Rattus norvegicus: one gene and its partners. The protein of the gene in region 3 interacts with the protein of the main gene of each other region in a biochemical or structural test. Links are inferred from orthologs where the notes say so. Each region holds a gene or a part of one and is shown on either strand. Other genes may lie near its edges. The genes, in order: Epn1, Grb2 and Reps2.

Evidence for each region.
Region 1: the proteins of Reps2 (region 3) and Epn1 form a complex in vitro, tested with the Homo sapiens proteins (3 studies listed by BioGRID and IntAct, with this or other methods). The link is inferred for Rattus norvegicus from reciprocal best matches to the Homo sapiens genes REPS2 and EPN1.
Region 2: the proteins of Reps2 (region 3) and Grb2 form a complex in vitro, tested with the Homo sapiens proteins (2 studies listed by BioGRID and IntAct, with this or other methods). The link is inferred for Rattus norvegicus from reciprocal best matches to the Homo sapiens genes REPS2 and GRB2.

What each region holds. Positions count from the first base shown.
Region 1 is NC_086019.1:77,775,816-77,779,757, forward strand, and holds part of Epn1 (epsin-1), read right to left. Parts: intron 1,439-3,942; coding exon 1,314-1,438; intron 994-1,313; coding exon 919-993; intron 358-918; coding exon 274-357; intron 1-273. UniProt on the Homo sapiens protein: Binds to membranes enriched in phosphatidylinositol 4,5-bisphosphate (PtdIns(4,5)P2). Modifies membrane curvature and facilitates the formation of clathrin-coated invaginations. Regulates receptor-mediated endocytosis.
Region 2 is NC_086028.1:101,385,582-101,389,523, forward strand, and holds part of Grb2 (growth factor receptor-bound protein 2), read right to left. Parts: intron 2,504-3,942; coding exon 2,381-2,503; intron 1-2,380. UniProt on the Homo sapiens protein: Non-enzymatic adapter protein that plays a pivotal role in precisely regulated signaling cascades from cell surface receptors to cellular responses, including signaling transduction and gene expression.
Region 3 is NC_086039.1:35,679,466-35,684,178, reverse strand, and holds the start of Reps2 (RALBP1 associated Eps domain containing 2), read right to left. Parts: upstream 2,917-4,713; 5' UTR 2,773-2,916; coding exon 2,539-2,772; intron 1-2,538. UniProt on the Homo sapiens protein: Involved in ligand-dependent receptor mediated endocytosis of the EGF and insulin receptors as part of the Ral signaling pathway. By controlling growth factor receptors endocytosis may regulate cell survival.

The DNA of each region.
Region 1 (3,942 bases), on a different chromosome or scaffold from region 3:
GAGCACAAGAGTGACAGACCAACTATTCTCTGCCTTGGTCAGGGAAGACTCAGGCAAGGACCACCAACCCTTAGTGTCTAGCAGAGGCAGGGTCTGTGGAAGGCATCTGGCGAACAGCATGGGCAGATGAGCCCGAGTCCTGCTGCAGCTAGCCAGGCTGCTGCTAGGTTCTGGGCCCTGTGACTTAGCACTCAGTCTACATGGAAGCCCCTCTGACCACAGGTGGCATGGCAGGAGCGAGTGAGCCAGAGGACAGAACACACAGGCGCTCACCTCCTCCTTGCCCCCAGTCTCCCTCTTGCTCTCCTCTATTGCCATCTGCAGCCTCAGGTCATCCCCACGACGGATCCGCTCTTCCTATGGAGAGCAGAAGCAGCCAGACAGGTAGGGTCAGAACACGGGCCATGGGAGGGCAGCTGGCCCAGCCCAAAAGCCCCCATCCCAACCACCCTCTCTCCCACTCTGAAAACGAAAATAAAATAATTAAAATGGAATGTGGACAATGTATGGAATGGGGATGGGAATGTGACACCTGGGTCAAAGGTGGGGCAGGAGGCAGTGGACTGTGGTCTGGAGGGAAGGGGACTGACTGTGTGCAGGGTGCTATGAAAGGAATGGCTAAAGCTGGTTGTGAAAACAGCTTAGGAAGCTGGGAAGCAGTGGGACTGAGGAAGAGGAGGAGGCCCTTTCATCTTGGCCTACTGCTGAGGTGCTACTAGTGACACTTAGACTCCCAGACAGCTACAGCAGACCTATCCAATGTCCTGGCATCCACCCTGGCTAAAGACGCTGAACTGGAAGTGAGTAAAATACACCTGTACTCAGGGGAGGCAGTCAGGAAGGGGCAAGGAGTAAGGACCCACGGACCTGAGCAAGGTGTAAGGAAAGCCCTAGGAGGGGAGGGGAGGCCACTCTGACCTTATCGTGCTCCTCTCGGCTCAAACTAAGGGCCAGCTGGAGCTGGACGTCATCCTCGGGGCCGCAGGACGGGGGCTGGTGGAGAGAAAGTATGAGGGACAAGGCAGGGGAAGCCAGAGCCAGAGTAACAGGCAGAGAGGCCAAAAGGGGGCACAGGGCCAGGCTGGGCGGGATCAGGCAAGGAGACACTGGTCCTCCCAAATCTGTAAAGCTGGGCAGAGAAAGGAAGAAGCTGTGTGCCTGACTGTCAAAGCGCAGGTCGGCTTCCCAGGAGGGAAAAGCTAAGATGGAGGGAGCCGCAGACCAGAGAGAGACAGCAGGAGGCTGAGGCAGGAGAGGCATGAGGACAGGATGGCAGAACAGAGACCAGCCCTCTCCCCCACCGTGCCCCGTACCTGGTCAGCCTCCTCCTTGCTCATAGCCAGGGCCAGCTGGAGCTGCAACTCCTCCTCCCCGCTGCTCTGTGGCCATGCCTGCTCCGCCTCGGGAGGTGGTCCAGAGCCCACAGCTGCTGAGGAAGCTGGAAACAGGAAGACATTAAGACACAGGTGGACTAAAGACCAAAAGATGAGAACCCACAGCCAGAGGTGGGCTGCAGCCCAAATCCCAGCACGGCTCCCCTTCCCCCGAAAAAGGCCTCGGAGGGCCAAACTGCGAGAAAAAGTTATGGAGCCAGAGTCCAGGGAGGGGCAAAGGCCAGCCCCACCCTCAGAACTGCAAGCTACTGATAAGGGAAGACCAGGGTCTGAAGGAAAACCACAGGTTTGGGCCTCCAGAGGGACCCTCCCAGGTTTCCCAGGCTAGGAGATCTCCCAACAGAGCAGTCAAGGGCCCCTGTTTTTAGGCAGAATTGAAGCCCTGGCAGGGACAGCTGGAATTTAAGAGGGAGGCAATGTCTGTCCAGACTGTGGAGACCAACGAGGTGAGCATGAGCCTCTGGCATCAGCAGGGCGTGGAGACGGGGAAGGCCACATTAAGGTCAAGAGCCTGGCTCCAGGGCCAGCAGAAGGTGGGAGAGAGGCTGATGGTGTGCTCCCGAGGAGGCTCGAGACCAGTTCCTACAGTCTGCCTCTTCTCATCACCTCCTTCAGTCCTGGCACCATGCCCTGCTGTCTGCAGGCTCCATCCATAGTGGCTCCTGATCCCCTGACGGAGGCCAGGTCTCTAACCACTGCTCCAGCAGTGATCCAGAGAAGATCCACACTCTAAGAAGCTGTCTGCTCCTGCCCCCAAATCCCTTTTACCTAAGATGGATCCTGGAACATCCTCAGGAGACACAACCCACACCCCACTGGCAAACCTACACTGTGCAAACCTTAAGGCCCCACTTCAGACCTCATAAGGAAATGGGCAGCAACCAACAACACAAGAACTTCCACCCCAACCACCCAGCTTCACGCTCCCTGTGGCTTCCAACCCTTTGCAACCCTCCCCAACTCCTGTGGAAACCTTCCTCTCTCCAAGCACTTTGCTCTGAGACATGGGTCAGGCGAACATGGCCCATGGCCAAAACTGGTACTTTAAATGGTTGAGAAAGAAAATGAAAGAACATGTCAAGACATACAAAAATTGTAAAGAAATTCCAATTTAACCCAGGCAGTGATGGCACACACCTTTAATCCCAGCACTCAGGAGACAGAGGCAGGCAGATCTCTGAGTTTGAGTCCAGCCTGGTCTACAGAATGAGTTCCAGAACAGCCAAGGCTATACAAGAGAAACCCTGTTTCAAAAAAGGAAAAAACAAGCAGCAACAACAACAACAAAATCAATTCCAATTTCAGAGCCCATGACGGGAGCATGGGAAGCATGTGACCCATGCTTATCTGTGTGTGGAGCAGGTGATGTATGTGCCTCGGGCTCCTGGGTCAACAAAGCTCAAGGCACTCAAATATCTGGCCTCTCTGGAGCTTGGCCATGTCTAACAACTAAGAAACCCTCCTCAGAGAAACTAGGAAGATGGCCTACTGGTTTAACACACTTGCTGCCCAAGCATGAAAGCCAGAGTTAAGATCCCCAGGACACACCTAAATATGAGGTAGACTGAACAGTTAGTTCACTAGTAATTCCAGCCTAGGGAGACACAGACTGGCCAGAGCAAGCTGGCTCAAGGCTTGACTTGGTGAGCTCAGGATTTGACTAAGACCGTGCATCAAAAAGAACAATGTGTAAAGCAATCAACGCTGGGCCACCGTACACGTGGCTGCAAGTGCACAGCCATTTGTTCACACGCACACCGCATACACACATGTGCATGCATACCACACGCTTTCCACGAAGCCAACCAGGCCATGTTCCTTGCTACGGACATCCCTCCTCGGCCCAGCCCAATCCTGTATTAGAGCTTCCACTCTTCCCCTGGTGGGTCACTCCTGGACGCCCCCAGGTTCCTCCCCTCTACTATGTTCCCTGCTTTAAGCTCCACCTGAGCACTTCCCACAGTGTCCTCATATCTCTGACCCAAACTTGATGCATCAGACGGAAGGCCTCCCATTAGAACCAAGGTCACAGACTTTTGGTTCCATCTGCCCTGGAGGGTCCAATCCCGCTCACCCCCAGCACTGACTCGCCATCCCCACAACCACTTGCAAACTCAGTGCTCCCAACTGTCCTCCTATAATCTCCCTATCTAACACTCTTCCCACTCTCCCTGCCAAGCCAAGGTCCCTCTGCATGAAAAAATGAAACCCCTATATAATCCAGGAAGGACCCCCGCACCTGCCACTGAACATGCTACTAGACAGATCACACAGACTTAAGACATGAGACGCACTCTCTCTTTATGCCACTTTCATTTCTTTTTAAATGCTCATCAGCACCCACCAATCTTGAATTCACCATTTACAACATTCTATGACTTCAAAAAGTAGACTCACAGGCCGTCCTGTCAACCACGGTGCTGGCCTCCTCTGGGACTTTACACTACTATCTATCCTTTAGCTAGAGGGACAGTCTACAGAAGGCCAGACTAGCAGCTCTATCAGGAGCGAGCACACATGTCCCCATCAGGGGCTGACCTAAACCTGA
Region 2 (3,942 bases), on a different chromosome or scaffold from region 3:
GTAACTGATGGAGGAAAGCAAGCCTGAAGTGGCTGTCCACTTCCTCATGTCTCCACTGAGAAGCAATGGAGGTGGTTTCAAAAGGACTGTGGCTCAGAATCCAAAGGTCCTTCCTGTCTGGCTCCAAAGGCCCAAGGGCCTTTTGTGATGCACCTGCTTCCGGAGTGCAGGGTCACTCCTACCACGACCTTCCCGCCAGGCTCTGCAGACCTGGAAACCAGTGTACTAGCTTAGTTAAGTCTGGTGCTGATCGAAGGACCTGTGTAGGTGCTTCACTAAAGGCAGTAGGTAGTTCATGCTATCCTTGTGTGCGTGTGTGGGTATGGGTATGAATGCATGTGCATGTATGTGGAAACCTAACGTCAATGCTGGATGTCTGCAGTATGTCTCTCACTGGACCTGGAGCTCACTGATTACACTAGGCTGGCCGGCCGCAGCTCCAGGGATCTCCTCTCTCTATAACTTCTGCACTGTGGATCCTCACTCAGGTCCTCTTGTCTGCGTGGTAGTTACCAACTGAGTCATCCACCCCGGACATTTTATTCCTAAAGTGATGGCTTACTAACATCTTTAAATGTTTTCTGTTTAACTTTAAAAACCACATTTTCTAGATATGCATGTGTGGTAGGCACAGGCACGGTCAGAGGGACTCCTGAGACTCAAAACACAGGTCACCTGGCTAGATAACAAGTGCCTTTACCCACTGAGCCATGTCATCAGCCAGGGTCTCAGTTAGCTCAGGCTGATTTTGAGCTCACTATGTAGCCAAGGATGACCCAGAATGTATAATCCTCCTGCTTCAAGCTCCTAAGTGCTGAGACTACACTCAGTTGTTGGCAGTGCTTGTGCTAGAGATGGAACCTAGGACTCACTGTGCTAATCAGGCATTTCTATCTCTGCCCTGGGTCTCCATCCCTGCAAGGCTGTCTTTCATGGACGGCATAGCTGGCCTTCCTGCAGGTGCTCGGGTAGAGGTGGTGGTGCTGAACACAGGCCGGTCTCCAGCCCAGCACTGCCCAGGGGCCTGGCCACTCCCGACTGTCTAATCATTGTCTCCCCTTCCTGAGCTGTTTTACTGCTACTTGGAGCAGTTCAGGCAAAGGAAAGACATACAAGCTACTGAGAAGTCTAAAAATGCTAATTCTACAAACCAAGACTCTGTATGACCCTTACTTACATGTGTTTAATCAAAAATGTAAAAAAAAAAAAACCCCAAACCTAGTTATAAGAAGAAACTGTTATCATACTCAGTTGAAAAAAAAAAGTTTGAGGCAAGCCTGGTCTATAGATAAAAGTTCCAGGACAGCCAGGACTACACAGAGAAAAATCCTGTCTTACAAAGCAAAACAGAAAAGTATGCAAACCTTCTGAGGTATCAAAGCTCACCCAAAGCTCTCACCTCTGCATTCAGACACAGAACACAGCTTGGTTCTGGTGCCCAGAGCTTAAGGCCTGTCATTCCTTTCCATGACAGGGAAGTGAAGGCACAGGACTCGGAGTTCAAGGCTGGTCTGAAGGAGTGCACTCCTTCACTCATTAATCGTGGTGCTAGTGATAGAAGCCAGGGCCTTCAATGTACTACAGTGAGCTCTACATTGAGACCCTGGTTGGTGTATTTAAAAGACAAAAAAAGCCAGGACTAGTGGGGTGACTCAGTGAGGCCTTCTGCTCAGACCCGACAAGGTGGGGTTTAAACCTCAGACCCCACAAGACAGCAGAGAAAGCAAGCAGACTCCTGACAGTCTGTCCTCCTCTTCCCTGGCTCGGAGTCAAAGACACTGGGCTCCCTCACCTCGTTACAGATTAATAATGAGGAGGAGGGAACAGCTGGCCATGCCTGTAAGCCCAGTACTCAGGAGACTGAGACAGGCGAACTGCCATCCATTTGACGAGTTTCTGCTACCCAGCAAGTTCCTGGACAGCCTGGGGTGCAGAGAAGAGTCTGTGACTGAAGAGTTTTGGGGTAGGCTTCTGCAGTGACACAGTAACTAGAAGGGGAGGATCGGTCAGATGTCTAACTCTGGCTGGCTTGGAAGTCACAGAGATCCAGCTGTCTTTGCTTCTCACGTGCTAGCTTAGAGGCCAACTCCTGTTTGGATTTTTGAGAGGACACCCACTAGGCTCATGGAAACCAAGTGTCGGGTCCAGGTGAGCAGTGAAGGCAGGCGGGATGAGAAGTGGTGCAGATTAAACTGGCCCTGGGTGCTGTCAGTTCCCATAGGTTCATGACACTGCAAACCTAAAGCTCGGATCTGCTACAACTAGGTTAGAGCAAACACTAGGATGTCCACAGGAAAAGACAGGTTAACATCTTCCCAGCAGCCTTACAATCCAGTCAATGGCTGCAGCTTCTCTGGCAGCTCCAGCAGGAAATACTTACTTGACTGACAGGGAGAAATCCCCAGGAGCGCTCTCGCTCTCTCGGATCAGGAAGGCCCCGTCATGCCGCTGTTTGCTAAGCATTTCTTCTGCCTTTGCTCTGGGGATTTTGCCAAAAAACCACCTAAGGAAGGAAGGCAAGCCAGTCAACATCTGCCTCCCCACAGAGAACTGGGTGGGATGCACAACCTGGCATGTACATGGGGACACTTCTGTCGGAGAGAAGGAGGGAGGGCAGAGCAGGGCAGAGCATTACCTGCTGGCCTCTTGCCTAAGGCTCTGGGGCTACTGTTTGGCTCAGGGCCTTCCTGAGTGACAGAGCTTTCAAACAGCTTCACCCACTCCACTCTACAGATCATGATTCAAGGCAGCAACAAGGGCCACTCTTCAGGCTACAAGGAGACCACTCCTAACATGCAGTCTGAAAGCCAGTGCCCAAGGCCAAAGCTGCCCTGCCTCTCCCTCACTCATCAGGTGGTACCTAGGGAAGCCCAGATACCCAGGATAAGGGCAGAGGGGAAGACAGGCCCTTGGAAGCCATTTCATCATAACAGGAGTGCAGGGCTGGCTGGCTGACATCTGACTTGGAGGTGTGGAGTCTGCGACAGCACAGAGGGAAGCTGGACTGTGAGGAAGTAGACTCTAGGTTGTGGTTGTGGTGTCCCTTTATTCCCAGCACCCAGGAGGCAGACAAAGGCTCTGTGGTTCGAAGTCAGCCTCGTCTACATAGTTTCAGGACAGCCAGAGCTACACAGTGAGACTGTCCTACCTTACCTCATGGATCTGAAATCCTTTCATATGCACATGATAACCCCAACAGTACCAGACCGTCTGCCTATCAGTGACAAATCATTATTTCATTATGGCTATCATGCACAGCTGTGTCCCACCATGCCTGGTTTTATGTGGTGCTGGGTGCTAAACTGCAGGTCACTTACTATGAAACCTGTGTGTCATCTGCCGGGCACGCACGACGCGCACTACAGCACAGCCACTGTGGCTGGTTTCATTGGACCCAAGTGCATCGCTAGGTGGCTGACGGTCAGTGTATAACTGTCCTCTTCCTCTCCAAACAAAGGAGGTGGGGGAGGGCTGGCCTCGTTGCCTGGAGGCACCACACTAAGCACCGTGTGCATTATTAGACCGTGTGGCAGATCCAGAGTGGGAAGTGCAGAAACAATCAGAAGAGGTGGCCTTCACAGCAGTGTGACCTGGAGAAAGGCTCCTGAGTGTTCAACTTCCTTCTGTAGAGCTCAAAGTGGGAATGGAGCCCACCGACTGCCCTTCAGCCAGCCTCAAATAACCCAGCTGACCATGCCGAGCTTCCTGCCTGCTTACTTGCTGAGAGCCAGGAAGGGTCCGACCCTGGGGCCTCACTCAAGCTGCTTCCGTGCTCTAGCACTAAGCTAACACCCCCAGGCCTTTCCAATTGCCCAGGCTAGCCCCAAACAACAGTACTTCTGCCTCAACCTCAAGTGATGGGATCACAGGTACATAAATCCTCACCCCAAAACTCTCTATGTAAAAGGGAAACGGCAGAGCCTGAGCAGCAGTCAGGAAACT
Region 3 (4,713 bases):
CTCATGGCCAGGATGTGATTCTTTGCTTTAATCCATTATCTGACAATCAGATATTACTGAATTTTCCCATTTAATGGCTTCTCCTGATAATATAGATTAAACAATATTTTATAACCAATCTTGATGTCTAAGAATGGTCTATCATTGGATCTCTGTGAGTTAATAGATAATAATAATCATTTTAAGACAAAGTCTCATTTACCCAGACTGGCCTCAAATTAGCTATGTTGCTGAGGATAACCTTGAACTTGTGGCCCCTCTGCCTCTACCTCCAGAGTGCTGAGATTATAGGTACGTGCCACCATGTCCGATTTGCGGCAGTGATGGGGACTGAATCTAGTCTTTCATGCATGTTAGGCAAGCACTCTAGCAACAGAGCTAAATCCCCAGCCCTCCAGTACAGTCATCTCAATCGTATGCTTATTACGAGGAAAATCTGGCTGTTAACCATAGAAACTATCAGGTCTGGTTACTGTCTCCGGGATTTGAGCAGTTATACCTGTTGGGCCACTTAAATCTGAACTTTCAGGTTTCGGTTTAGAAGGGAAAGGGGGAAATTTTCTACATTTGTTTTAAAATAGCCAATACACTAATGAGCTAAAACAAATTAAGTCAGACAGAGCATACACACACCACCAAAGTGGTGGATAAAAGTTAGATGTCCAATAGATCCCATCTTTCATTACCCTTCCCAGTTCCCGCTGGGTGACTTTAAATGTTAATTGTTACCTGTACCAAAAGTCATTCTAATTGGTTACATGAAAGGGACTGTGTTTTATTTCTCTGGGCTGAGTAAGGGAACATAAATCTCAGACTCACAATAAGCAATCTAGGAATAGCCCCTTTTGGTAGCATCTGAAGTGGTATTTTGCACACAGTTTTCCCCTCTAAGTCTCTGTACCTTAGGTTCTTTTTAAATTATATGTTCTTCAAGAAAGCATTGGTTATCACACAGGAAAGCCCCCTCGCCAATTCCTGCAGAAACCTCAACCAATTTTCATATGCCCCTTTCTCTTATCACACTTGATGTATTACCGACCACAAATTAATCCTGGCCAGATGTACAGTGCAATTATTTGGTGCATTGCCTCGAACACTTTAGTGAATTTATTATGCTCGGCAGTATCCTGAGGTCCTGGTAATAGCTAGTTTGTTTCAGAACACCAACTCCTTATCATCACCCTGTGCAACTCAACTGCTTAGCAACTGTGGCAGAACTATCTCCTTATCACAGAATCCCACAGGAACAAACAACCATGCTAAATTCTATGAATACTAATCATGTTCAGAAATTCTCAATTCGAAAAGGTGAACCAAGTGGCTAAAATTATGCTCACAAACAAACGAGCATCAATGTCATGCACCAGCAGTATAGAACAGTCTTGAGTGCCAGAGAGAGAGAAAGAAAGAAAGAGAGAGAGAGAGAGAGAGAGAGAGAGAGAGAGAAAGAAAGAAAGAAAGAAAGAAAGAAAGAAAGAAAAGAGTGAGCCTCACAAAGGCAAAGAAAGATATGGCAAGTGAACCATAAAACCCTCAGTACTCCTTAGGAACTACATTTTAAAGCCTTTGCTCACCACTGTAAAAATTCAGTTTTCGTTAATAACTTTCACACTATTGCTTTTTAAGTAGAGGTTCATATTTAGGGCTTGATATTAACAATATTATCCCCATTTGCTGCTGGTAACATCAAATGACAGACAAAGGTTTACCAAGCAACCTTTGTCCAAGCTTCAAGGAAAGCACAAAACAAAAACAGCACCTGCTGTGAATCATTCCTTCCTCCTTTCCAGGTATGGGGCAGACAGAAAGAAGCTATGACACCCTTTGTTTCGTAACTCCATGCCAAAGTCAAGTGACAATAAGATGGGAAACTACAGCTATAGACTTCTAAATCCACCCCTGGACCCAAATAGGGAACTTACTTTGGACTTGACCAATGTTCTTGTCTTGTAGCCCTGAGTCCCTGTTCTACAACTGGGCACTAAGGTTTTCCACTTCTATACTAATAATCAGAAATACGTTAGTGAACAAATATATGTAGCAGATATGTACATATCACAAGTATTAAAAAGGGAGGACAACATGTAGCTGTAGGCCCAGAGCCTACAGGCACACATGTACACACCCTTCAAGTTCAAATCCCAGTAAGGCACCCCGAGAGTGTAGTCAACAAAGGGAGGGGCAGGAGCAAGGAACAGAGGTTAAAGCAGACAGCAGCCAAAACAAACATCACTTCCAGAACAGGGCAAACTTTGGGTCTGGGAGACTGTAGAACCCCCAGAAATGATAGGGGTGTCAAGACTTTCTCAAGGGACGAAGAGCACACCCAAGCACCGGGCTAGAAGGAGAGGAGCTGCAGAGGAGGCTGGTGTCCCTGGGGACAAGGGCGTCGCCGCCATCCTCGGCTGCAGAGCCCCCCCTCTTTTTGCCGTCCTGGCCGCCGCCCTCCAGATCCCCGGGAATAGTCGTTGTTGCTCCATTCTTCCCATAGACACGTCCACACAGACCCGTGAGGGATAAAAGAGCGCAGAGGCATACCTGGTGCAATGTCTCCGGTGGCAGCTGCGACGCTCGAAACAGATCGGCTACCGGACCAGCGGCCGCAGTGAGAATGCCAGGGGCGACCCTGGTAGCCTCGAGGGGGCCAGGTCCGGGGCCCCCGCTTGCAGCGCCTGCACAGCGCGCGAAGAGCTCAGAGTAGCACTGCTGCTCGCTATCGCTCAGCAGCAACGGCGGCCCCGCACCGCCGCCTCCGCCCGCCGCCACCTCCATAGGGCCTTCTGTAGAGTCCGGGCTGAGCGCCTTCCCTGGCCAAGGTGCTCGTGCCTCCGCCAGGGCCACCACCACCGCCTCGGCCTCCGAAGCCGCCGCCCCCACGCCCCGCAGCTGCAGCGCTGCCGCTTCCTCCAAGCGCACGCCGGCCCCGCCCCCCCGGGCTTGAATGTTGTGCCTCCGCTGCGCGGCACATGGAGACAGGCGCGGCACTGACCAATCACAGCCCAGAATCCCACCTGGGCCCCTCCCTTAAAGCCCGCCCCGCTCCGCCCTTTTGCCAGGTAAGGAACACAACTCCGCCCGCCGCCCTCCCAAGCCTTTCACCTGCTCTGCAGTCGAGGCCGGGCGGGGAGAGCAGCTGCCAACGCCCTCCAAGCCCACGCTGTTCACGAGGGGCATCTTGAGATCTCCATCCTGACTGGCAGGGGAACATCTGTACACACACAAGAAAAACAGCGCTTTTCAAGGGATGGGGAAAACTGAGATGTCTCATTAGAAGTCCCAAGCGGATGAGGAGTCCAATTAGAAAAGGAATCAGGCAAGAAAAGTTGGATTTTCCTTCTTCTAAAACTGTAAGGCCTATGTCCTGAAAAGCTAAAAAAGCGGAATTCTTATGAACGGGGTCCCAGCACCACCCCAGAGATGATGGAGTTAGGTCACTTTCTCAGGTATGGCTGTGATCTGGATTTGAGCCTTACTGAGAAGTATCAGAAGGTACCTATAAGTCCTAAAGGAAAGAAGTGGAAAAATGCGTTTTTGGGTTTTGTTTGTTTTTCAGAGGTGAGGTGCATTCTGTGCCAGTGCTCTATTGAAATCTGAGAAACGGTGGGAGACACTATCTGGAAAATTTATGCTTCTTAAGAACTGAAAATATTGGCCTCTGTAACAGTGTCCTTGATTTCTAGAAGGATTTTTTTATTTTTATTTTTTTATTAACTTGAGTATTTCTTATTTACATTTCGAGTGTTATTCCCTTTCCAAGTTTCTGGGCCAACATCCCCCTAACCCCACCCCCTCCCCTTCTTTATGGGTGTTCCCCTCCCCATCCTCCCCCCATTGCCGCCCTCCCCCCAACAATCACGTTCACTGGGGGTTCAGTCTTAGCAGGACCAAGGGCTTCCCCTTCCACTGGTGATCTTACTAGGATATTCATTGCTACCTATGAGGTCAGAGTCCAGGGACAGTCCATGTATATATAGTCTTTAGGTAGTGGCTTAGTCCCTGGTTATTTTTATTTTTTAGACAAGGCCCTTTGTTCTAAAAACACTTCTTTTGGCAGGAAAACAAGCAGCTTTTTAAAATTTTGTCCAAAATTTGTCCAAGTTCCTACCAAAAAAGTCAACACTAGATCTCAGAACTTTAAAAACCGTGTGTGTGTGTGTGTGTGTGTGTGTGTGTGTGTGTGTGTGTGTTCAAATGGGCTTCTTCCTTGATGGCTATTGCTCTAGCCAAACCTCCTATGTGGAAAGAAAGTCTATGCTAAGTGTGGTGGCTCAGGTTTGTAACCTTAACACTAGGAGTCTGGGGCAGGAGAAGCACTGAAATTTTGAATCTACTCTAGCTACACAGTGAATTCCAAGCTAGCCTGCAAAAAGAAAAACAAAGTCCACAAAATAATACACTAGAAGAAAAAAATCTGCCTCACAACAACATTGAAAATGGCAGTGTAAGTCTTATATATTTACATTTTTTCCAAAAGGAAAATCTGGTTTTATTTGTTAAGACAGGGTCTCTCTACATAGTTCTGGCTGTCCTGGAACTCACTATGTAAACCAGGCTGGCCTCAAACTCATGGAGATATGCCTGTTTATGCTTCCCAAGTGCTGGGATAAAAGGCATGTGCCACCATGCTGGGCTCCAAAAGAAAAATCTTAAGTGCCATTGTTCTTGAGAAGAGGTGTACAAATGTAACCATGGCATATGCGTGCCTAACTGCAA